Linked DNA regions of Styela clava. The protein of the gene in region 2 binds, or shares a complex with, the protein of the main gene of each other region. Links are inferred from orthologs where the notes say so. Each region holds a gene or a part of one and is shown on either strand. Other genes may lie near its edges. The genes, in order: TGF-beta-activated kinase 1 and MAP3K7-binding protein 1-like and UDP-N-acetylglucosamine--peptide N-acetylglucosaminyltransferase 110 kDa subunit-like.

The links.
Region 1: the proteins of UDP-N-acetylglucosamine--peptide N-acetylglucosaminyltransferase 110 kDa subunit-like (region 2) and TGF-beta-activated kinase 1 and MAP3K7-binding protein 1-like are in contact, whole or in part, in a crystal structure (PDB 4AY6), measured with the Homo sapiens proteins. The link is inferred for Styela clava from reciprocal best matches to the Homo sapiens genes OGT and TAB1. Residues at the interface, in NP_858058.1 of Homo sapiens: Asp441, His506, His508, His509, Asn567, His568, Pro569, Gly641, Tyr642, Thr643, Lys644, Ala646, Gln849, Phe878, Pro904, Val905, Ala906, Pro907; in NP_006107.1 of Homo sapiens: Pro389, Val390, Val392, Pro393, Tyr394, Ser396, Ala397, Gln398, Ser399.

What each region holds. Positions count from the first base shown.
Region 1 is NC_135253.1:22,516,725-22,528,910, forward strand, and holds the start of TGF-beta-activated kinase 1 and MAP3K7-binding protein 1-like, read right to left. Parts: upstream 5,690-12,186; 5' UTR 5,671-5,689; intron 4,011-5,670; 5' UTR 3,997-4,010; coding exon 3,767-3,996; intron 1-3,766. Other genes in the region: uncharacterized protein LOC144421899, read left to right, coding at 10,164-10,380, 11,264-11,287, 11,587-11,619. UniProt on the Homo sapiens protein: Key adapter protein that plays an essential role in JNK and NF-kappa-B activation and proinflammatory cytokines production in response to stimulation with TLRs and cytokines.
Region 2 is NC_135258.1:11,142,421-11,154,488, reverse strand, and holds the start of UDP-N-acetylglucosamine--peptide N-acetylglucosaminyltransferase 110 kDa subunit-like, read right to left. Parts: upstream 5,124-12,068; 5' UTR 4,948-5,123; coding exon 4,866-4,947; intron 4,287-4,865; coding exon 4,136-4,286; intron 4,044-4,135; coding exon 3,924-4,043; intron 3,804-3,923; coding exon 3,680-3,803; intron 3,606-3,679; coding exon 3,537-3,605; intron 3,451-3,536; exon of another isoform or gene 1,648-3,450; coding exon of another isoform or gene 1,546-1,647; intron 1,147-1,545; coding exon 1,030-1,146; intron 942-1,029; coding exon 862-941; intron 781-861; coding exon 590-780; intron 418-589; coding exon 272-417; intron 1-271. Other genes in the region: A disintegrin and metalloproteinase with thrombospondin motifs 3-like, read left to right, coding at 9,504-9,554, 9,935-9,965, 10,628-11,010, 11,493-11,628, 11,860-11,940. UniProt on the Homo sapiens protein: Catalyzes the transfer of a single N-acetylglucosamine from UDP-GlcNAc to a serine or threonine residue in cytoplasmic and nuclear proteins resulting in their modification with a beta-linked N-acetylglucosamine (O-GlcNAc).

The DNA.
Region 1 (12,186 bases), on a different chromosome or scaffold from region 2:
TAAATCATATTCATACACAACACTTCCAAGTCATTGCTAAAAACACTATATTGATTTCTGTAACTATCATTAAGGGTTTTAATAACCATCAGAATAAAAACACTTTTATGTAAGTGCATTGGTTCAAATTTATATAACAGCATGTTCAGGCCATTCCAAGCAAAAGTTGAATTCCATCAATTTTTTTAAAAGTGTAGTGAAAGTAATTTTTTTGTATTTTTTATATTAAATGACATTGGAATTTTATTGGACTGCATCCCTTTCATCGAAAAAGTTGAAATTTCACCTAGGTTTTTGATGGTTTTTAAAAAATGGCCTAAAATGTAGAAATTGTGGTATAATTGGCATATTTTGTGATGATTCGTGACACAAAGTGTTTGATTGTGTGATAAATTTTTTTCATATGAAATGGACTCACTGAATTTAAGTTAATAAAGTTTAAATGTTTGCAGTGCTGTAGGAAATTTCTTCGCCTATTTAACAATTTATTACCAGAATTTTGAGAGATGATAGAGGCCGCTGTTCCGAAGTGGAAAAATGTCTTGTGGTGTATCGTCCTGTAGTGTCACATACAAAATGCAAATTATTGGCATGGATTTACACTGTTACATTAGGTGAATTGAGCTACACATAGAGCTCCTTCAGCTACTGCACCAGAAAATATTATGGGCTCCTGCTGTACCATCGCAAAAAATTACAGCATAAGTACTGTTAGTGCAAGGTGGATTTGCTGTCCTGTGTTGTCACACTATATTTTACGTTATTTTTTATATCCACTAAGTATGTCTTGGTTTTAACTTTTGTGCAATTTTTTTTTTACATATTCAATAAAGCAACTGATTGGACAATAAAACAAAACATGTAGCTGAAAATGTAAAAATATATTGCATCTAACAACATGAAAAATTTCTGGAATTGTCTTGTAGTGTCACTTGGAATAGCCCGTTCAAAGTCCACATACAAAAAAAATTTTGAAATTCATGTGCATAAAAATGAGTCACCTATAGACTGAAAACTTTGTTTCTGAGCACATCGGTAAACACTACTCTCTAGTTATTGAAATACAACTTGATCTAATATGAGACAGGACTAAATTATGAGTGATTGCAACTAGAAATGTTTGCAATGTAGACAAATAAACTGTAACATATTTCATTACTAAGCGAGATGGCTAAAGCGTCCGGATTAACTATAATGACATATCAGGTTAAATGGTGTGGCGCAACATGCTAAGAGCTAGAAATATGCTCGCCACAGCCCTGCGTGTTCGCAGGTTCAAATCCCATGGATTTCTACACTCCTCGCCACCGTAGGTTGGTTCACGTAACTGCTGATCGGTTACACCTTCCTCCCCTATCAGGTCCATGCTTCCGGAAACAAACACCTGGCTAACTAATCCCATACCCGACATGGAACGGTAACCGGATAAGAGGCCGTGGTTCGCCATATGATTAAGCTGTCCTATCGGCTTTCTTCTTGTTTTTTTTTTATTCACCATAGGTCGAATCGAAGGTCAATCATATGATTGAGCCGTCTTATCAACTTTCCTTTCTCACAGGTGAAATATGTAAATCCTGTCCTAAGTTTATCAATCATTCTTATCCCCTCACTGAGAGTCTAATACAGGGGTTCCCAAACCAGGGGTCGCGACCCCAAATTGGGTCGGAGTGATAATTAGGTAGGGTTGCAAACAGGTCATGGAGTCGGTGGGGTCGCTGAGGTATGGTAGAGGATGGATGTACAAATCATCTAAGATTAGACAAACCATGTTAAATTTAGCAGTTTGTAGTTTGTACCATGGCTTACTGTAAAACAGGCCCATAAGCATCGCTCTATGCTTATGCTATAGAAAATGTACAAGCTTATTGATACCACCACATGACCAAACTCAAAAGTCCAGTGAAAGAAGCTCAAATTTTCATTAAAATCTAGGCTTCTGGTCCGAGATATGATGAATGCAAATGCAAAATCTGGAGCAGATTCAATCTCGCTTTATCGCGTGCATCTAACAGACATACATACAGACAAATACCAATCATCATACTTAGCGATTAAAATCGATAAGTAATAACATCAGACAATCCCATGCAGCTACGGCCACCCAAGGTGTAATAAATTAGATAAGAAATGCCAAACCAAATAAAATTATTTTCTTCCCAAAATCTAGTAACTCCTTATACAGAGTGAAATGCGCAAAAACTATGAATAGAAAAAGTAAGGGAACCCGCTGGAGGCCCCAATTAAATGTCTTTCTGTGTCAAAATCAAAGAGAATCTGGAATAAATTTCAAAAGTTACTAAGTGACTTTTACCATGAATAATGTACAACAAAATGTAAACCTATTGAAATATTAATTTGAATGTACAGCATGGCAGAATTACTTCAGACTATAGAACCATGATGAGAATATTCAGATATTTAGAATGATGAACACGGCCAGTTGAAAAATCTGGAAAAGAACCCATGTCCAGTATGTCGAAAAAGTCGCTAATTGGCAATAAAATAGATCTGACATATAGGCAAACTTTGGCCCATGGGCTAAATCCGGCCGACTGGGTAATTCGATTTGGCCCGCCTGACGCTGCCAAAACCAAATTTTGATGTTTTAGCTCAAGGAATTTGTTGAGATAGCGATAAAATTAAGTTTTCCACTTTCAGTTTTGAAACACTGTAAATATTGTTCATGAAATGTAACTTCCATGTCACTCTCATTATGATGCCCTGGTCCGAAAACCTTGCCCACTACTAAATTACCGTAGTAGATTATAGGTTTTGAAAAATTTTGTGACAAATATTTAAATGAGAATATCGGTCGGAGACCGAAGACTTATCGATCGAAACTGCGGATTCGATTCATGACTCTATAGTGATACTGCGTGTCCCATCACTAATTAATTGATAACTCGCTAATTATACGACAGAATTCATTCATAATCAATAGGCTTCTGGTCCGAGATATGATGAATGCACATGCAAAATTTGGAGCAGATTCAACCACACCTTCTTGAGATATTGCATGCATGTAACAGACAGACAGACAGACAGACAAATACCTATCAACATACTTACCGATCTAAAGATCAATAAGTAATGATTATAACTGCCTGTATTACTAAAGAACCCATATAGAACTATCTATATTCATAATCATGATACATCTCGGCCATTGGTCACACATAACTGGTTCAACATAAAAATGCTGAAATATGCGTCATCCAATAAACAATAAATTCATTGAATCTGCTAAATATAACAATGACAAGGACTTCAATAAACATGAGTCATCACTACATGGTCAACTAGCAAACAAAGCTATTGAAGAACCAACCAATGCAAAGATAGTTGGATTTGGCATTTCAAAATTATTTCGATTTTAATAAAACATTCAACTTCACTCCTGAAATCTTGCACCAGACAGACAGAGTACAAAATATCTCAAATGATTTACATATTTGAATATAGAATGACTGCATTTTTTTGACTGTCATATAACCACTGATTGAAATAATAATTTTTGAATAAAATCAATTTGAATTATAAAAATTTGATATTTCTATTCAAAAAAGCTTTACAGAACAAAACAACAACGTACAAATTTTACTAACAGTTGAGGTTGCGTGAAACTAACTACCTTTCCTTGCTCTCTATGCCTTTGCGCAGGTGGATCCGTATGTGTATTACGTTAGGATGCTGTAGCAAGAGTGTAAATGGCTATTCTATTCAATTCATGAGACTTGCTGCACTCATTTTAAACATCTTTACCAACCTGAAATTGAAAGAAAAGTCGGCATACTGATGAGCTTCCATTGTTTTACCATCCTGAAGATAGACAACGTTCGGAGCTATTCCAATATCCGACAAATTACAGACTGGTAAATCATCCGTCCAACTAACACCAGATCGATTAAGCATTCTACGATGAACGCTGGGCGATGACGAACTCGTGGACGAATGTGTACTTCCCTGTGGAGGCCGTAAAGGCGCAGCAGTCGCCATCTTTTAGATTTTAACTGTAATCGCAAAATAAAGAGTGTTCCTATTTTAAAAATTTATTCCAACTTCGGAAGTTGATTTATTTACTGGTCTAGTAGTCTATAATATGGGTAGGATTTACATATTTATCATAGGGACGAGCACACCCTATAAAAAGTTTAATAATATGGCAACCCACAGTCTCTCGTCGGGCTACCTGTCCATGTCAGGTATGGGATTGGTTAGCCAGTTATTTTATTTCGGAAGCATGTAATTGATCGTGGAGAGGGGTTATGGAACCACCCTCCGGCAATGTCAGTACGGCACACTATACAAATCGGGTGACATTGTCCCGTTTCAGAAAAACCCTACTTTTAGATGATCAGACCCCTCCTTCGGGAGACATCTGGACATTGTTGTCCCTCAATATTAGTAATAATACAGTATGATGAAGTTGCGCAAAATACTACAAAAAAGCGCAATCTAGTATCGTCATCATTGAATTCCTTGAGAAAAAATAATCTGATTTACCAAAGAAAAATTTTTTTTCGTAGCATTCGAGAGTTTTTAGCAAAAAACAACAATTTTGGTCATGTGACGGCCGCGATTAATTTAGATTATTATTGAGACAAGCATGGCGCAATATGAAGCATCTGTCGTGGTCCCAGACGCCCCTCGTTTATGAGACACATGGAGTGTTTGTTTTATTGAGGCAAATTCTTGGAATTTGGATAGTGTGCTGTACTGGATGTGGAGTCCAGCAATCCTCTCGCACATAATTAACCCTGCATGAGATTTGAACCTGCAAACCCAATCAGGATAACCAGAGATGCGGTGGTCAGCATATTCCTGAAGATTAGCACGATGCGTCAATATGTAGTGCCCCTTCAAATTGAGATGATAAAGAGATATTTACCCAGAGCTGGAGCCGCAGGGTCACTGTGTTTAATGCAGCTCCTCCTAATAGTTGGATCTGGCGCTGCCAAAAATGGTGGCTTATGAATGTTTTTAATATTTACTTTTCAACATTAATTTGAAAAGTTCAAATTAAATTTGTATAATTCATAGTTCACAGTTTTATAATAAGTTTGAAAACTTTACGTCTCACTGCTGTATTTTGGCTAATGTCTGAATGTTTCATAGCAATGGTTATAACGAAAACATCATTGGCAATCAGAAGGACACAGTTCTTCGATTCCAAGATTGCCAGACTATTTGTTCAATTAAACAAATACTCTATTTGATCCTGAAACGAGTGAGTCTGGCATGATGGCGGATGCGTCAGATTGCACCATGCTCGTCTCGATAATGATCTAAATTGAACGTGGCCGTCACAAGACCAAAATTGTGTTCATTTTGCTGAAAACGCTCGTGTGCATATTTATGCAGCATGTTTGCATGTATATTTACTTGCATTAAACCTTTATAGAGGTTTTGCCAGTTCCCCCAATTTTCCTAATCTTCTGTGCATTCATTGTTTGGTTTTTGTGTATGATATTTTTTACGAGAAAACCAAAATATATTTATATGCTACTGTAAAAAATTTTTCATCAATACATTTTTTTATGAGGAATCCTATGGTGAGGTTTTAGATTGTGCTTTCTTTTAGTTTATTGCGCAGAACTGGTTTGCCAAATTACTGAAATATGCCTATTTATGGGGCCCAAACTGTCTCGTAAACCAGAGGTTTGCACTCACCGTTTTATCCTAATTTATGTATTTCAATGTGGGGACCATTCTTGAAATTGGAGAACCGTACAGCTGTACAGGCTATAGACAGATAGAGGCCTAATTTTATAAATACAGAAATAGAAGCCATAGTGGATCAAAAAACGTCGCAGTTCAGTAGCTCGTAGTCTAGTCTAGTACCGGTAGCAGTCTATACTGAATAACTTTTTATTGTTTGCTATTTCCGTATTTTTTTTCTGGTTTACGAAAAATAAATTTCTCTCTCTCTCGTATCCTTATCTAGGACTATCGGTACTGCACTAGTGCACTATATATTTTATGTTAATTCACAATAAATTTTTTTTCAAATACAGACATAAGTAAACGTTAGCACCTAATCTGGGAATCAGCTGAGCATTAAAGGGCGGCCCGTTCGACGGCAAAACAAGTGCAAAAACAATGTTCTCGATGACCGGAGTCTATAGCCGTATTTACATAACACAAATGGGACAGACATAAAATATACTTGAGACTTGAAATGAAAAATTAATTGCATAACATAAATAACAGTTTACCAATAATATGAATAATAACAACCAAGAATCTAATAATTATTTTTTATTTAATATTTCTAAATTTTATACTCAGTCAAAACCGGATTTAAAATAACGACTTGCGTAATCTACATAAAAAAAAAACATTTGTAAATTTTTGTACCTAAAAATTTTATTTTTGATAATTCCAAATGAGAGTTAAGAAACGATTAGGCTTATTCGACCAAGAAAATCCCAAACAAGCCCATGCAACTGGAACAAATATCTGGCTAACTGATCTCCTACCCTGCATAAACTGGTCGTAATCTGACGGGGGGCCGTGGTACACCAGATAAGGAATTAGGCTCCCCCCCCCCCCCTGCAAAAAATATCAAACTAATCAATCATGCTAATGCTCAAAACAGATAGGTGTTGTGGCATTTCGAAGTTTAATTTGAATTTTTGTTGTTCTTTTTGTATGATTGTGTCTAATTACTAAGTAAGCATTTAGGTAATATTCCATAGTCATTGTGGCATCTGTAGTTTATTTCTTATTCTTTTTATTGTTATTAATCATATTATTGTGTCTAATTAGGTAAATGTTTAATATTGGGTTCTTCCGTTGCTATATTTGCTGCTTCAAAGTGTCGTTGACTGGTTGACTTGTGGACTGATGAGTTTTTCGCGACACCTCGTCCACTGCAACAAGCCGATATCTGTTTCTGTAATTTGTTTCATGCATTTTATTTATTTCATATTGTTTATTAGTTTTCCACGACGTAAATGAATATGAAGGTAGATATTCGGATATGAACCTTCACAGGGAAATATAGAAATGAAGAAGATCTGCTATAAAATCCTACGGTTATGCATTTATTTTAGTATATTAGAAACTGATCGACCATAGGCTACTTTACATTGATTAGATTATATTTCATCATAATCCGGAAAAATATGGCGTGTGGCTTTGACGCAGATACTGAGCGAATAGAAAGGTACATCGCACGCGCAATTTACTGCGTTTCATTTTTAGTGCATTAGGCGGGATGGCATGTTTTACCTGTCACTGGGCAAAACTTGTCGGGTTTTTCGTTTTATTACCAGTTTGTATAATATCGTTTTATTCTGTAAAAGAACATAACGCCGCGCCAATTTCAAGATTTTTCGTGAGATGTTTATTAAATTTAGAAACAGTAAACCAGATATAGGGCGGTCAGTTAGCACAAGAGGTAAAAAATGATCAAATCGATGAATCGTCTTCCAGTCTTTGTATTCCTTTACTGACAGTCAGAATTGGGGTTTACGGATTCGCTCTTTTAATTATCTAACGCACATTATCGACAATGATTGCAGAATTACTGTTCCTTTTTTTTATAAAAAGAACTAAACTGAACCACGATTAGAAACAGGATATCATATTATTTTCCAAATCCGCACATTTAAGAGTTACAGGAGCGCACACTATAGTCCCAGTTGAACGACTTAGCATACATTAAAACGTGAATACACCTGCTTCGAATCAACGCAGTATGTTTAAAGTAATAATTATTTCGGGGTAATTAGTTTTGTCGTGGGCTGCTAAGCGTGACGTTGTTAAATAACCAAGTTTCTGGCCAGCTCGGTCCTTGTAAGTGACGGTGGCGCAGGAGAAACGCAGAGACGTTGTCAAACATCAGGTCAGGCACGAGCGCAGGTTCGAAACTCACGGGGTGGATCGAGTTGTAGCAGAGGGCCAGCAGACAGGTTAGCCAGGTGGTCGAGAAAAGAAAGGACAGACGGGCTGTGAGCCGTAGAAGAGGAGACCAGCAGATGCGCAGAGCAAAGAGATAGCATACCCAGCCGCAGGATAGGGAGGAAGAACCAGCGGGCCCGTCGATGAAGGAGATAGCAGACAAAGCCGCAGGATAGCACCGCCAGACAAGACAGGCAGGTCGTCAAGAAAAGAAAAGGCAGACCGAGCTGCAGTAGAGGACCAGCACGTGCACCGAGGAAAGAAAGGGCAGCAGACCCAGCCACCAGGATATGCTCAGCAGACAAGACGAGAGGAAAGGCGGCCGAGAAAAGAAATGGCAGGCAGGCTGATCCGCACAAGAGAGGAGCGCCGAGCAAGGGACGCTACCAGCAGACTGGTCGAGGAGAGAGGAAATAGGCCCGACCAGCAGGCAAAGGACCAGAAGGAAAGTTGGTCACGAAATGGTACAATCGTGCTGCCGGAGTGCAAGCAAGAAAATATTATGCAAAAAATATAATACAATTCAGGTGTCGCTGCCTGAAGACATTATGAGAACACCTGAAATGTGTTTTTAGAATGTGACGATGAAAAGAAGAAACGACGTGCGTAGCAAGCAAGCGTGGGGTGAATAAAAAATATAAATTATATATATATAAGGTGAGAAAAACAACGAAGCCCCAGAGCAGTCGAAGAAAAATTGAAACTTCAAATTTCCGTCCAATCTCATCGCTTCTTTTAAGCAAGAAGTTTCGAATAACGAACGCCAGCCGAGAACAACCGTTTGAAGTGTTTCTCACAACAATACCGAAACTTACTTACTTATTTAATTCCAGACGGAAAACTAATTCTAGTTATCGAGCAGCGACACGTAAGCTTCTAATATCTAGTTAAAAAGATCGGGTAATTTAATTATAGAAATAGTATTACTGAACACCAATGTTTTTTCATACTCCATAACTCAGCAATTTTAAAAGCATTCGCACCTTGAATATCGCTGCTTAGTCAACATGTTTTGGGTTTCCTGCGGCTTTTCTTCCCCACTAAAACTGTAAGTGCTATTTTCTGGTTATTTGTACACAATTTGTTTTGTACTGGTTGAAACTTACTTGATTCGGGGAGAGATGCGAGGAGGAAAGGGTGCCTGCCATGTGTGTCAGCCTCACACAAACCAACAAATAAAATATTGGAAAATAATTTTTTACTTGAATTACCAGTGGTAATAGTACATCTCCATACAATAGGCTCCATACAGCTATTCTTTGGATGTATGTTTGCCCATATGCTAAAACAATTTTATTGAATAACGTAGTAATCTTACGTGTGTTGAACATATTGTTGTTTGTATTGTTGTTGCGACTGGCTGTAGGCCCTACTTTGTTTCAGTGCTATCTCACCGCACATTGTGCGGTGGTGGTTATGATATATTATAATACCGAACAGCGTAGTAACATTGCGTATACTTCAATATGGTTAATACTTTTGCGAAATAACTACGAAGATATCCAAGAATTTTCAGTTTAGCGAGGACTTATTCGCCAAGTGGTAAAAGATAAATGATTTGTTGTAAAATTTTAAAATTTTAATACTATTTGGGACTACTGCTATTCATACTCATGATATTTGACAGAGTGCTAGTCCGTGAAGTTATTAATTGAAAGAAGGCGTATAGACAACTAGTTCTCAAACGGGGCGCGCCCGCAAGTAAGACGTAGACAATTTTTTGGTGGGCGGGAAGCTAACTAAAAAATATTTGTTTGATATTCACATTTTATTATTATGGATATTAACGTTCCATTCACGTATGTTCAACCTGTTTTTCGAATAAAACATTCGCCTTGCTATCTGTTATTTGTAGCTTATTGTTAGCTAGTCACTTTGGGGGCACGCGCGAGACTTGACAAATTCTAAAAAGGGAAGCGCGGCCTAAAACTTTTTAGAACCACTGGTATTGATATTTATAGATCAAATTTTTACAATACGATTTTTGTTAAGTGATTCAAGAGTCTTGCTGCACACTAACACAAATATATTTCTGTAACGTTTCGCCCGAAACGGCGGGTCGTAATTGGCCCGCGAGCCGCGTTTTGGGAACCGCTGCAAAAGATAATTGAATGAAATTTATTAAAAGATAGCAAAGAAGAGTTGCAGAAGCTCAGAAAAAAATATTATTCATGTTCTTGAGTGCCTCAACTGAATTTTTTTTTTCGATTAAATATTTAGATTAAGTAAAGATTAGTCAACGTGCGACAACTGAAGCAATGTATTGTTTCAAAATAGCATTCTTATGGGTCGTTTTCACACTTGCCAGATGCGAAGACAGTTTGGACATTTTCGATGGTAATTACCTGTCTCCAACAGTACCTGACTCGCCCGAAGCCAGATACAACTATCTAGACGCAAATTATAAGTCTATGAAAGACTTCTTCAGCGAAATGACAAGATTAGTTGAAGCCATGCAAAGCGAAGGATCGGGAGGTTTGACTTTAATTCAATACAATGATCAGGTATTTTACGGGATATCCCCATTGGCTATGTCCCCCCGCTTAAAAAAAAATTCACATTTTACTTGAACTGCATTTCTGCAGCGTTTGCAGTAAGACACCATTTTTTAACACCATTTTGCTCTATTCCCTAACAATTTGCTGAAAACCGGATGTTTCCAGGATAACTGTACATTAATCCTTCCCCCTAATGAACGAAACGAAATATTAGTGGATTGGTACGCTGTTCTAAGTTTGCTTGCTAAGCGGTGTTATTGTTTGTTTTCATTAAACTGATGTTTCATTAAACTTGATGTTTCTATCAAGCTGGATGCTTGTATAGTTCATTAGTCAGTGTCAGGGACACAACATTCCAAGCAAAAGACACGAGTAAGCGTCTAATAACGTCGTTATACAAAACAAAATTGCCCCCAAAATTCAAATTGTGGGCTGGCTACGCTCTTGGATGTTCCATACCTTCCTTCTTAATGAATCTCTGGACAAATGGTAAAAAAACAGGATCGATAGAAAAAACATGAAATTGTTAAAACAACAGCTTTCCCCAATAAGTTATCTATTCAGCACGTCACTGTATTTGCAGAATCTTGCTGAACGTTGCGAAGTTCAAGGCCAATTCTGGATACTATATTTGCAGAGAAAAAGTAGTTCAATCTGAATAACATCGATTAAAAAACGACTTCGACATCCTGTTACCCATTTGACTGGATTTTTAGCGCAAAAAAACAGACATTTAGGCACGGAGAAAGCACAATTTTAGCTTATGATCATGTATGCGCCTCGAGTGCGAAATTTCCTATTAGTGGTATTACACTTTTGGTTTTATTTTGCCGTTTTTCAATTTATCAAATATATTTCAGGGGGTTCATCAACATTTGTCACGAGTGAGTATTTTATAGTTTCATTGCATTGTTCAATAATCAGTTGAAATATTTAACGACTATGGAATTTTTGATCAAGACCACCGTCTGCACATAAACTTACTTTGCAACAGAGATGCTAATGCAATCTTCTTTATACAATGCAAGGTTCAAGCCAACGAGTTATTCTCCGGCATAAATCTTTAAATCCAATCTTAAAGAGCTTCACATCAGACTTCTAAAGAGCTACTCCGTGCATCTCTAGGCCTGTTTTTCTGACCAGGTCACGTCAAACGTTACTTATCGGTAACTTTTAATTTTAGGTTCCGGAGTTGAGCTTGATCCATCAACGCCAGGTAATAATGTTATAAATTTGTTTGTAAATAATTTAGGGATATTTTACTTTCCTGGCATCATATAAAGATGACCGTAGCCTAGCGGCTAGAGTAGTGGTTCCACAACGTGGCAGCGCATTTATCACCAATAAAAGTTTTAAATATTATTACATTTGACAAAATTAATGTTACATGTTTCAACGACGGTACGTCAATTCTAAGAAGTTGTCCTCGGTTTTGTTTTCAATTTCCATCACAGCAAAAAATGCAATTTTGCAGCCGCAAAGGTACAAACGAGAATATCGGTCAGAGACCGAAGACTTCTCGATCGAAAGTTAGGGGATCCCCCAAAACAGCGCTCTTACTCCATAGTGACACCTTGTTTCCCATCACTAAATAATTAATAACTCTCTAATTATACGACATAATTCGCCCAAAATCAATAGGCTTCTGGTCCGCTTTCGTGAGATATCGCGTGCATCTAACAGACAAACAAACAGACATACAGACAGACAAATACCTATCAACGTACTTACCGATTGAAATCGATAAGTAAAAACCTGTACAGAATGTAATTCTCTTCATATC
Region 2 (12,068 bases):
TTATGTTATAATAGCATGAGAGAGCAATTCCGACAAGATACGCGTGTGTAGGTGAGTTCTTTCACCTACGACTGAAGTGTCGGAATGAACGATAACTGATGACACCGCTGGGTTCGCCCCTTTCCCGATGAATCAAAAACTAAATACGAGAGAGAATGAATAGGAGAGAACTCTCTCGTTTTCACCTTGGCACGGAACGGTAAAATTGAAAAAACTGATCTTGGCATCGAAAGTGTTAAGAGATTGATCAAAAAAAAAATTCAGTAATCACCTCCAATGCTTTACAATACAGTGCAATGGCCTCCTCTATCAGTCCTTGTTCTCGTTTTATATTTGCCAAGTTGTTAAGTGAATCTGCATGTGTTGGACACAGTCTCAGTGCTTTATTATAACATTCTTCAGCATCTTCAACTTTACCTGAAAGTGCATTTTGTAACAGATATCAGGGTAAAAAAAATTCAGAGTTGAGAGACAGATGATCAGAATCGAAAAGAGTGGACAAAAAGCTAGTCTGAACATTTTCTACATACTCTCGTGCCTTCAAAAGTCTGATATAACACAATACATTTAACCGGAATAGCAATTTTACCTTTTTCTTTGAGGGCGTTGGCCAAATTGCAGTATGCATCAGGAAAGTGCGGTTGAAGTTCAATCGCTCTTCTGTATGTGTCAATCGCTAGATCGATCAGCCCTTGTTCATAATACACACACGCAAGATTTCCATGAACAACTGCATGGTTTGGTGATAGATTCAATGCACGCAGATAAGCAGCAACAGCTCTACAATGAAAATTGTACATGAAAAAATTTAAGGAATATAGATTTTAATTTAAGTAATAAATAGAATGTTACAATGATTACCTATCAAAGATTCTTGCCTCTTTCAGTACATTTCCTAAGTTGATATATGCATCAAGAAAGTTTGGATCCAACGTCACAGCCTGAAATCCATGATAAAAAACTGAATCAATACCCCATTGTACAATAAAATAATGTTTATACATAAATATACAAAAACAAGAAAAATACCTTTTCAAAATGATGAATTGCAAGCCATATTTCTCCTTGACTGTTGAAGACGCAGCCAAGGTTGCTCCAAGCAACTGCGAAATTTGGTTGTGTTTCTATAGCTTTCAGATAGCATGTCTAAACGCGAGAATAAAAGACAAATTAGGATAAGAAAAAAAGGAGTTTTGATATCGCACAGAGCAGCAGCAGCAGAATCCGGAAATGAAGCCAAAGATGCCGAATTTTCTCTGATGAAATAAATGGTTACATTAGCTTCTACTTCGCTTCATCCGCATAGAGTCTCACATTTGCAAGAATACTTTTTGCAAGTTGTGTCAAATAGATCTACCAAAAATTTTGGCAGAAATTTAAAGTCAAGCAATTGTGAGTGGAAAATGATGCAGCAAGATTTGAACATAGAATTCGCAAAGCGCGGCGCACATAGCAAAAAATACAAGACAATGCACAGTAATACAATACATATAAAAATAAAAGATCCATATTTATATACTTGGACCAACTTGGTATATACCATACCGTTGCCGCATTTTGTCGGCGCTTACATAACAATAAGTAGCCTTGGGTGCCTGAGATATTTATTAGAGATACGAAGAAGTCATCTGGCATGGTGATATTCATGTCCTGCTCTGTTGAATGCTGACGAGCTCTGTGCAATCTTTCTTAAATTGACTTGATAAATATGACAGAGAGATAAAGAATAAAATAACAAGATTAAAATATTGTAAGATGTCTTAAATAAATACTGGTACTTGGAAGTTACATTTGATCAGTAATTGTAATTATGTCATTGACAAAAAACATTTTTTTATTTATTCTTGTTTTTAGATATGTCTAAGAATTTGAACTAGAATCCTTTGGTAACAATAATGTCAAATTTGAAGAAAAACAACATTAACGTCAGATTAGAGAGAAACAATTACTTTTGAAACTAAAGCCAAACAAAGTTTGAGGTTTTAATTAAAATATGCAATACTTGGCATATGCCTTACCATTGCTAACTTTAATTCATACCACAGATGTAAATATATGCTGAGTAACCATCCTGTATCAGGTAGATTTTGTCCTTCTAGAGAAGCTTTTTAATTAAAAAATGAGCACATACAATATCTTACCATGGCACATCATGTTAATAATACCAAATTGCACATAGAATTTAGTTTCGAGCCAATTGATAAAATAATTTGAGATACAATTCCGCTACTGATCCAAGAATTTTGTTTCAAACACCAAATTCTAAGATCAGAATATATTTATAAAGACGCAATTTAGCAAATGAACGTGACAGCTGAGAGTTGCATTTACTGGAAAAAAAACTATCTGGGGTTTTCAAGTTTTCAAGATACAGACATGTCCAAATGCACAAGTTAATCCCAGGAAGATGTCTTTCCAATAACAACTGCTGCGTCAGCTTACAACCCACGAGCGCTTGACTGTCAGTGTAAGATATCGGGATGGATTGGATATTGAGTAGTTGAAATACATTTCAAATGGGTAGCAAAATATGTCCACTGACAGCCATGTGGGTCAATGTACCTTCATTTCAATGCCGAATTCGCCGACTAAGTGCAAAAGCCATGCCCAAATAATATTTCGCTCCGGTTTATAGGAATACAAAAATTACCTCATCCTCAACAGAGCTGAGTAATCCAATTTTAAACAAAAAATAAATAATACAGTGTCACTTTTTGAAAAGTCGTTAAAAATAGATTTGAAAATTGCACATTTCAGTACACTGCTATGTTCACAATCTTCAGTGTTGTTTTATGAGATGAAGAGAAATGAATCTGCTGCTGCTATACCTGTCTATAACATGTAGCACGGATGGAAAACAACACTGACCATTGTGAACATCAGAGGGAGCAAAATATTTCGAAGCAAGGCTAAACATACTATGAAATAACAAGAGCACAAACATGACTTTCTTGTTGAATTACTTGGTTTCAGAATTGAATGGCAGAGGGCTATGACTTATTTGAAAATAATGGCTTGATTGATTACAAAAATTATTATATTTTTCCTGTCTAGTTCAACTTCTATTAAAATATAGAGCTGAATTACAGCAGAAATATTTTCAAGAAAACAGGTGGCGCAGAGCCAGGTCGAACCCAATAATGGGGTGCACAGTCGATTATTCTAGAACTCTTACACATAGACTTAATAAAAAAGCAAGCATGTGCAAAAAAATCATATTTGTGCTAATGTAAAATAATTCTATTTGATGTCTGAAACAGTATTTGGATTTCGGAAATGTGTCGATGTGCCATGGAAGTGATTCAACTTTTCATGTGCTCGAGCGTTTCTCGGTTGCTATCGACACAAACTGAATCCTGAAGCATGCATAGCGAAATAACTAGTTAAGACCAAATCATCATCGAAACGATAAATTGCAAAAGTATTCGAGTCCAGCATGTATGATTCAGGATTCAGGTGTAGATAGCAATATGCCAAGAACCGCAAATGCGCATTTGCTGAATGTAAAAAGCATGCCAATTTAATGCTGCAAATACCTTTGCCTCTTCTAAACGTCCAAGAGCTTTCAACAAATTACCAAGATCACTCCTCACACAATAGAGATCCTGAAATGAGTTGAAGTTGATTATTATTATTGAAGGGGAAAGTATGAAAATATGATCTGCGGAATGCAATTTACCGGATTTATTTGTAGAGCTGAAAAATAAGCCTGAACTGCGCCTTCCAAGTCTCCAGCAGTAACCAAAGCAGCTGCTAAGTTGATATAACCATCAATGAAATCTGGTTTCAAGCGTACAGCATGCCTAAATTCAAATAGAAAACAAATATTACATGTCCAATTCCATATATTAAACAAACACCGTTCAATTCCATATATTAAACAAACACCGTTTGATAAATTGTTATTTTCTCAAATATCATACCTATAATGTTCTAAGGCCTCTTGCAATTGGCCTCTTTCCTTGAAAACATTCCCAAGATTAGAATAAGCTTCAGCAAGCATCGGGTTTGTTTTAATTGCATGTTTTGAAAAATATGCAGACCTGAAAAAAATTGGTTTGTTATGTCACCATTCTTACTTGAAGGAGTACATTTAAAACAATAACAGAATAAAATTGTAAGAACTGGATTATACTTGTCAAGTCTCCGACACTGAAAATGAATAGAACTGAGAAGTAACAGAACGCCAGTATTATCTGGATCTTGCTGCCAAAGATGCATACAATGCCTTTCTGCATTGTCATAATCGCCTGCTTGATATTCACGATGTGCAAGTTCAGCAAGACCTTAAAATAGGGAAACCATGTTAAGGAAACCCAGATGAGTATTAATAAAAAAAATGAATGAACAAAGAATCTTATTTCTGGTCCCACATTTTACAGTATTCAGGTATTGGCTTACATTGAGCTGCCGAGTAAAAGCATCACTCCATGCACTCTTTAACTTTGAAAAATTATGACCGAATGACTTAAAACTCCGTCTCGTGCAGCAATTTTATTTGGAGACTACATTCTCCAAAAAAATTCCAATACGTAATCGACAAATTACAGAATTACTAAATCAAGAAATCAGTATACAGGAATAGACAAAACTTTTGCAAAAACATATTTTTCTAAAAAGTTATCTGTAACGTTATATCACACGCGGTTACATTATAATGGAAATACTGGAATGACTAATCGTACAACAGTACAAGGTACAACAGTATAAAGTTTAGACAATTATTTGAAGTTTATGACAACAAAATTCTGAAATTGTTCAAGTGTACCAAAACTCCTGAAACTTGGTAGTTGGAAAGCAAAATACAGAAAAACAAACCCATGAAACTGTTCAATTAATAAAAAATAACTTATAAGTTTACCAACCCGTGGCATCAAGAACAGCTGCTTGATGATTATTATTTAACATAATTTTCTTAGTGTCGTCCTTCGTCATTGGTGAATACATTGGATCACGAATTATAGTAGTAAAGAGAAATTCAAGTCGACAGCAATGTCTGAATGTGCCAATTTATGACAGGCTGGCAGGGTTAAGCAATGTCAGAATGTGAACTCTTCAAACAATCTTGTGTTGCAGACTATGCAAGACAAAAATCACTCATAGTTTGATTTAATTAGAAAATCTATATAAATGAACAGAATATAAATATCAGTTTTTGCACCAATAACACTTGAAAATAATTCCCAACGCCAAATCGCAAATTTTTTGAATTTATTCATACTCGCAAAAACCTTATAACCAACGATACAACATACAGACATGAAGGAGAACCATATGGACAAATAATCTAACGCTAAACTTTGTCTATATACATCATAATCTAATCACAATAGTAAAAGTTACGATAAGTCGAGGAAAATATCAAAATTAAACATTGTTGTTATTGAGCCCACACGCGTGAATCGTCCTTTCTGATAAAAACAAAGGGCAGTACTATTTACAGTCACGTCGAAGTGTTTCCAGTTTCCACCCAGCTCTGTCGCGTGATGTTATATTCATGCGCGCGAGGCGCCAAATATTCATGCGCACGAGACGCCAATGGTTAACTTGCAATGATACGTGGGTGACGTCATTTGTCGTGACACGCTGACTTTGTCTGGTTTCGGGAGCTTTGAAACAACGAGATGCCTTATCGGCATTATTTTTCAACTTCCGCTTCGGTCCAGTCTCTTATCAGGGAAATAGACGAACGAGAGTATTCCTATGCCTTGTTCATAAGAAGGTGGTTCATTATGATTACTCAGAATTGCCGACTTGGAATCAGAATGAATGTCCAATAATTTAAATTAATTGTTGTGACATTTTTATCTTCATGGATGGGTCGTAAAAACCAACGACTAACATACCGTAAAAACATATTCTTCAAACTATATGAGAGAATGGGTAACACCAAATTGGAAGTATGGCACAAATAATGATATGATTTTGTGCTACTGATACGGTATGTTAGTCGTTGTACTGATATAATTTATCAAACTCGCTATCTACGTTATCATTTTCTATTACGCACATATGTGTAAGCCAGTACGAGCGACAATATCACATAGGTGATCCGGTACATTCTATCCGTCCTAACACAAATCTAAGGTCACTAGGGAAGAGTTTGTGGGATAATGGACCTTTCCCCGACCTTTGACCCCCGAATAAATTCTTCTTATACTTTGCCATTGCAAAATTTTCGGGGCTATTTTAAGAGTGCTTTTGCGAGTTGGCGCCTGTAAAATGGGGTATGTGTTTCAAACCATCATTATGATTCATCGCATACAACTTTCTGTTTTTTAAAAGTACCGGTAAAGAATTTTAGCCTAGTCTATCACAGCTATTTCGACACTAATTTTTTATTACTGCAATTTAATTAGAACTCATGGGAAAACAGGGTGATCATTGAATTATCTTATTTATATTTAAGTTTCCGAAACACAACTGAAAACTAACGAATAGAGTTCAAAAACGCGATAATGAGGTAATGTTTACGACCGCGCTTGAAAATCTGTCTGAGTGAGAAAAGTGTCTGAGCGGATGCAAAAAGGGAGCATTGTTACGTCACTTTTTGCATCTTGTTGATTGGCCAATGTCACGAAGTAAACAGGAAGTCGATGCTCGGGGAAAGGTCCATTGTGTGTAAGAGATTGTTGAACAATGTCGTGGGGTTGTTCATGTAACCCAAGATCGGTTTCGATTTTCTCTACCATCAAGTCAATGCATCTAGTTCCATTTTGCTTATCGTATGGGCTGTCGTTCCGTATTTAAGCCAGTGGTTTTCAGCCTTTTTTAGTGTCGGGCCAGATTTCAAACCTTAAAGTTGTAAGGACGCGAATTAAAATAGCAACAAAACAAAACTGAGTATGTATTTCAAAATAACATCCCCAAAACTCATCTATAAACACCAATTTAACGCTAAACTTGTGGCATTGGCCTTGACTTTTAATTCTGAAACAGCGAGATGCAATCGTGCTTCATATTTCATAGTGTACTGAAAGGTAGGCTACTGCACTTCAGTCTTTCAATTTCAAGTCTTTGATTGATTTTCAGTGAAAATGATACAACGCTAGCAATGCACTTTTCATTTTGACTTTTCATAGCAATTACTCTGAAATGGCCATGTTGATACTGTAGTAAATGTTGCTAGAATACAATTGGAAATAGCTAGGGCTTGATACTTCGTTTGGTGATATGTTGTTGGTATTTTCCCTCTCTCATCGTTATAAAAAAGCGGTACTCCTGAAGTATGCGCATCAAGATGTCGCACAACCTGAACCCTAACCCTGTACAGTGTACACCACCGGGTTCAGGTTGTGCGCCATCTTGGTGCGCATACTTCAGGAAGAAGAAAAACTTTACTCATTAACTACTAATTGCTCTGAAATTTTCAGTGGTTAAGGATTGTCTTATTCGCTAGAAAGGCATTACTTTTATTATTTCCGAAAATTTCTGTGGGCTCTATGGGATTCGTTTTTTGTGTGCGATGACATCATCGATATTAAATATTGCCCACCGTGCCGTGGTTCTCTAAGCGCATTTCAGCGATTTCGTAGTCAGACTACCGGTACTGTAAAATAGTTGATGTTACTTCGTTTTCGCCCTCGTATCTATATAATTGAGCATTGATATCTTGTTTATTTAAATATATATTCCAGTTTTGAATGGATCGATGATCCATCTTTTTCAATCGCGACTACACGTTTATGAATTTGTACATTGGTTAGAAATTATTAGACATTTGTGATAGGTCATGAACTGAGGATAAACTAAGAGAAATATTGATTAAATCCATGTATTTACTAGACTAGAAGTAAACTTGAGATTTTCCAACCCAGGTTGCACGCTCAAAAGGGTTCATTTTAGGCGCACTTCCATGCATGATATATTCACCTGCTCATATATATATTATCACGAGTAGAGTACTCTCATAAGTCCAATCCTACAGGCGTGACACATTCTGATTATCATTTTTTACTGATTGCACTCACTTTACCATACTTTTTAGTATTATTTTTGCAAGGGATACTTACGACTTACTTGTCCACAATTTTTTGTTACCGATCGAAAAAGAATAAAAGAATAGGCCAAACCTTCATTCTATCATTACATGATTCATTTTACAGAGATAATGGATACTAGAGGTTCAGATCCCAGATTACAAGCGAAACAATTAAAACAACAGAATATCAAATGGCCGATTTGATTTATACCAACTATACAGTCTTTCTTTATACAGACCTGGAGATACTGAGATGCCATCGATGCGAAGAATGCATCATTGTTACAAAAAATCCTACGAAAATTGGTTTATTACGGAAACACACAAGATTGCAGCGTATAGTCAAATTGATTTTAAATCGGTTTAAAAATAAAAATTCAATACTTTGTTCAATCTGGGAAGTTTTTGAGTTCATTTCAAACTACTGCAACAATTTCAAATAATGATTTTTTGCGTCAAACATGTATCAATGGCCCTATTACACCGTAAACCCTCAATAGCGTATTAAATCGGACAATTTTCGATATCCTAATTTTCAAACAAACAAACATTCAAACATTTTATTTGTTTTATATCACACTTCTTGGATTGAATCATTAATGTTTTAAATATGATAATCTCATAATATAAATGTTGATAAACTGATGTTTTGTCAAAACATCCAACTTTTCGTGATACCCGAGGCAATATTTGCAGCGATTTTAGTATTTGTGGCACAACAGTCGTCAACAGAACAACGATACTTTTGTGATGAGATTTAAAAGATGATTAATATTTGAGAAACAAGGTTAATGCTATGTAAAACGCTCAAAAAGTACTATTCAACGAATAATATTGCTGACATCTGGATGAGGAAATATTTTGACAAGAAGATAAATTTGACACGATAATAATATTTTACAGAGGGATTAATTGTTTTAAAAGGTTAATAAGAATTTACGCCAAAGCAACAGTTAGAAATGTGTGACATCATAATTGTTTGAATTAAATTATTCTATTAATTTTCTTTCAATTTTACTGAGTGCATCACATTGAATTGAGGAATATTGCCGGCTTATTCTTAGAGCGGATAGTGGGATATTTAATTTTTGTTTCCCAAGAGGTAGAGTTACGAGTGTCTAATTGCATATATTATAGTGAAACGATCAATTGTTATAAGGGGAGTTTAGCCTTTGGGATATCATATACGGATCCTCTTTTCATATTCAGCCTAACCTTAATTAAAGAGAGACGATTTGACCGTGTTTCGTCCTTTGTGCTTCTTTATCCGAGTTACTTTCGAGGTTATAGAAATTGGCTAAATCAGAAAATAACGTTTGCTCAGAGCAAAAAAAAATCGATTTCCCTTACTCCCTTCGGAATATGTCCATTATTTCCTATTTCATCATTTTTTCCACTTTTGGTAATTACTGAGACATTTTTCAGTCGATAATTAAATAAGAATGTAAGTTCGAGAATAATGGCATTTCGTGCCAAATAATAATATTTCTAGTTTTATTTATTACATATTTTCTTTGGCAAGATGAAGTTTGGATTTGCTCTGATGTTGTTGGCCTCCTTTGCCTTTTCAAGGGTGAGTAAATTTTTTTATTGTCGACGTTTTGACAAATAAGATCACACGCATTGAGATATGGGCTAATATTGCACTAAAAGAAAATCGAAGAAATAGTATGTTGACTTGCAACCATAATTTCAATATTCTGAAGCGAGTTTGAGTTTTTATAAATTTTTCTTAAAGCATTTAGTTTGGAAAAATCTAGCGCATGGGAATGAGAGAAATGTAAATTTGCATATAGAATATCTTACAACATTTTTTGATTATTCATTGATCTCTGAAATCAATGTCTAACTTTCGTAAAAAGGATATGCCTTGGATTTCATAAGAAAAAAGTGCCGAAACTCTTTGCATTGGACATTATATGCTCTTGTATTTACCATAATATGCACTTTCAGATTTATTGTTCTCTTCATCATAAGACAGAAGGTGAGATTTGAGTTATTTCCACATAGATTTAGGAATTTTGTGTGTATTGTATACACGCCGATCTTAAAATTGTCTTTATTATATCACATGTCACTAGTAAGTTTCAAATAATTATTTTCAAATACACTTTACTCAATGTACACATTCTTATTAAATTCTAATATTTGTTGAATTCAGCGTTTTTGTAAGATATAATCTGACCATAATTCTCAATGTTGGTCCATTGGACGCTGTCGTCATTGCCAAGTTGCCGCTTGTGAGCGCCACGAAATTCGAAATATTCAAATGTATTACATTTGAGTAAAATTAGTCCGTCTTGCTGTACATTTATGAAAAGTAAACTTGTGCTATCGATTGGGTTTCTACTAGACTAACTACTTATCCTTCTTCTAGGATTTTGTGCCGGTAGATCCGTATGCACATATTGCAAGGATGTTGTAGCAAGAGTAAAGATAACTATCCTAAGTCTTGCTGCTTACTATACAAATATATTTCTGTAACGTTGTGTCTGACCAAAGTCAGTCTTCCCCAGACAAACATTTATCAAACTGGGAGGTTGGAGAAACGTTACAGAAATTTATTTTGTTTATAGTGTGCAGCAAGACTCTTAAATCGCGTATAGGTCTTAGGATTTTAAAAGTAATATCAACTTATATTGGCAGAGGAACTATCTGAATTGTTTTCAACATATGTCATTACAAGTCCGGTTCAAGTTGACTCAGATGGGAAATTTTTATCTTACGATTTGAAAACTTCAAGTATTCGTAAGAGACGATCCGCAGCACACGAGCCCTGCAACACAACATCTTATGGACCATGTTCCGGTAATAAAGACAATGATATATATTATAATATCACGGCTTTCGGAGAGTCGTACCATATTGTTCTGAAGCAGAAAGATCAACTTATTGGCCCAAATGCCAAAATTGTCAGACATTTAACGAATACAAGCATTGAGGAAGACTTGATAAGACATGGAATATATGCTGGCTATGTTAAATATTTTGACAAAAGCAAAGTAGCAATGACGAGTTTTGATGGATTGGTGAGAACTTACTTATTAATATAATCTTTTATTTGTGTGTGTTTCCAAGTTTTTTCTGTCCCTGGTTCGAAACGGAAATCGAAGTTTTACCTGTGGTGTAGTGCTTCTATATGATAATGCGCTATGAACTTCTGGTTACTGTTTTTCATGGGTGTTTCATTGGTTTATTTATCAGGTGGACAGAAAAAATGTATGAAATTCAGAAAGATTTGTTATTCATTACGTTACTATTACGTTTTAACAAATAGCTTTTGAAAAAGCCTATTTGTTTGTTTATATTTTGTACAATAAATATCTCGATACTCATCGCGGGTCTGGTGGAGATGTATGATAACATAGAAATCTCGAATTTGACGCTGGACACATGGGTTTCACAGTCCTAGGCTATTAACATATACTACTTCAATGATCAAAATTACATGAATATGCTTGTGTCAATATATAGATTTTGACTATATTTATATTTATTGAAATATTCATAGGCTGGATATATCAAAACTGACAAAGGTGAATATTTTATCGAACCAATAGAACAAAGTCAGGACGAGAATGAAATTGATATCAAACCTCAAAGACATATTGTTTATGAGAAACGTGATCTTCTTTATAAACCGGAAGGTTGGTGGATTTTCCATGTATTATCTGCATGTGGTGGCACACTCGATGTCTCGGTTTAAGACTGGTGTTATAGAATATATTACAAAAAATTTATGAACTTTGCGATTTTAATTTGAAAGCAGTCTAATTGTGATTATTTGCGTATACTTCCCGTTTTGATCTGAATATAATATATGTATTGACGAACGAATACGAATTTAAAAAATATAAATTTATTATGTGTTTCACCAGGTAAAAATGGAAACAGACAACAAACGTTGTGGCCAGCTGTGGAGAATATGAAATTTCCATCATATGAAATGCTCGATGACGGTGAGGAAATAAATTTCATTAAATGTGATAGGACAATGGCGCAATTGTAAGGTTTCGGGATTGCATGCCAGTCTAGTCACCATCCAGTGCCCATCGCCCTGAGGGTTAACCAAACTTGGAAGATTTGA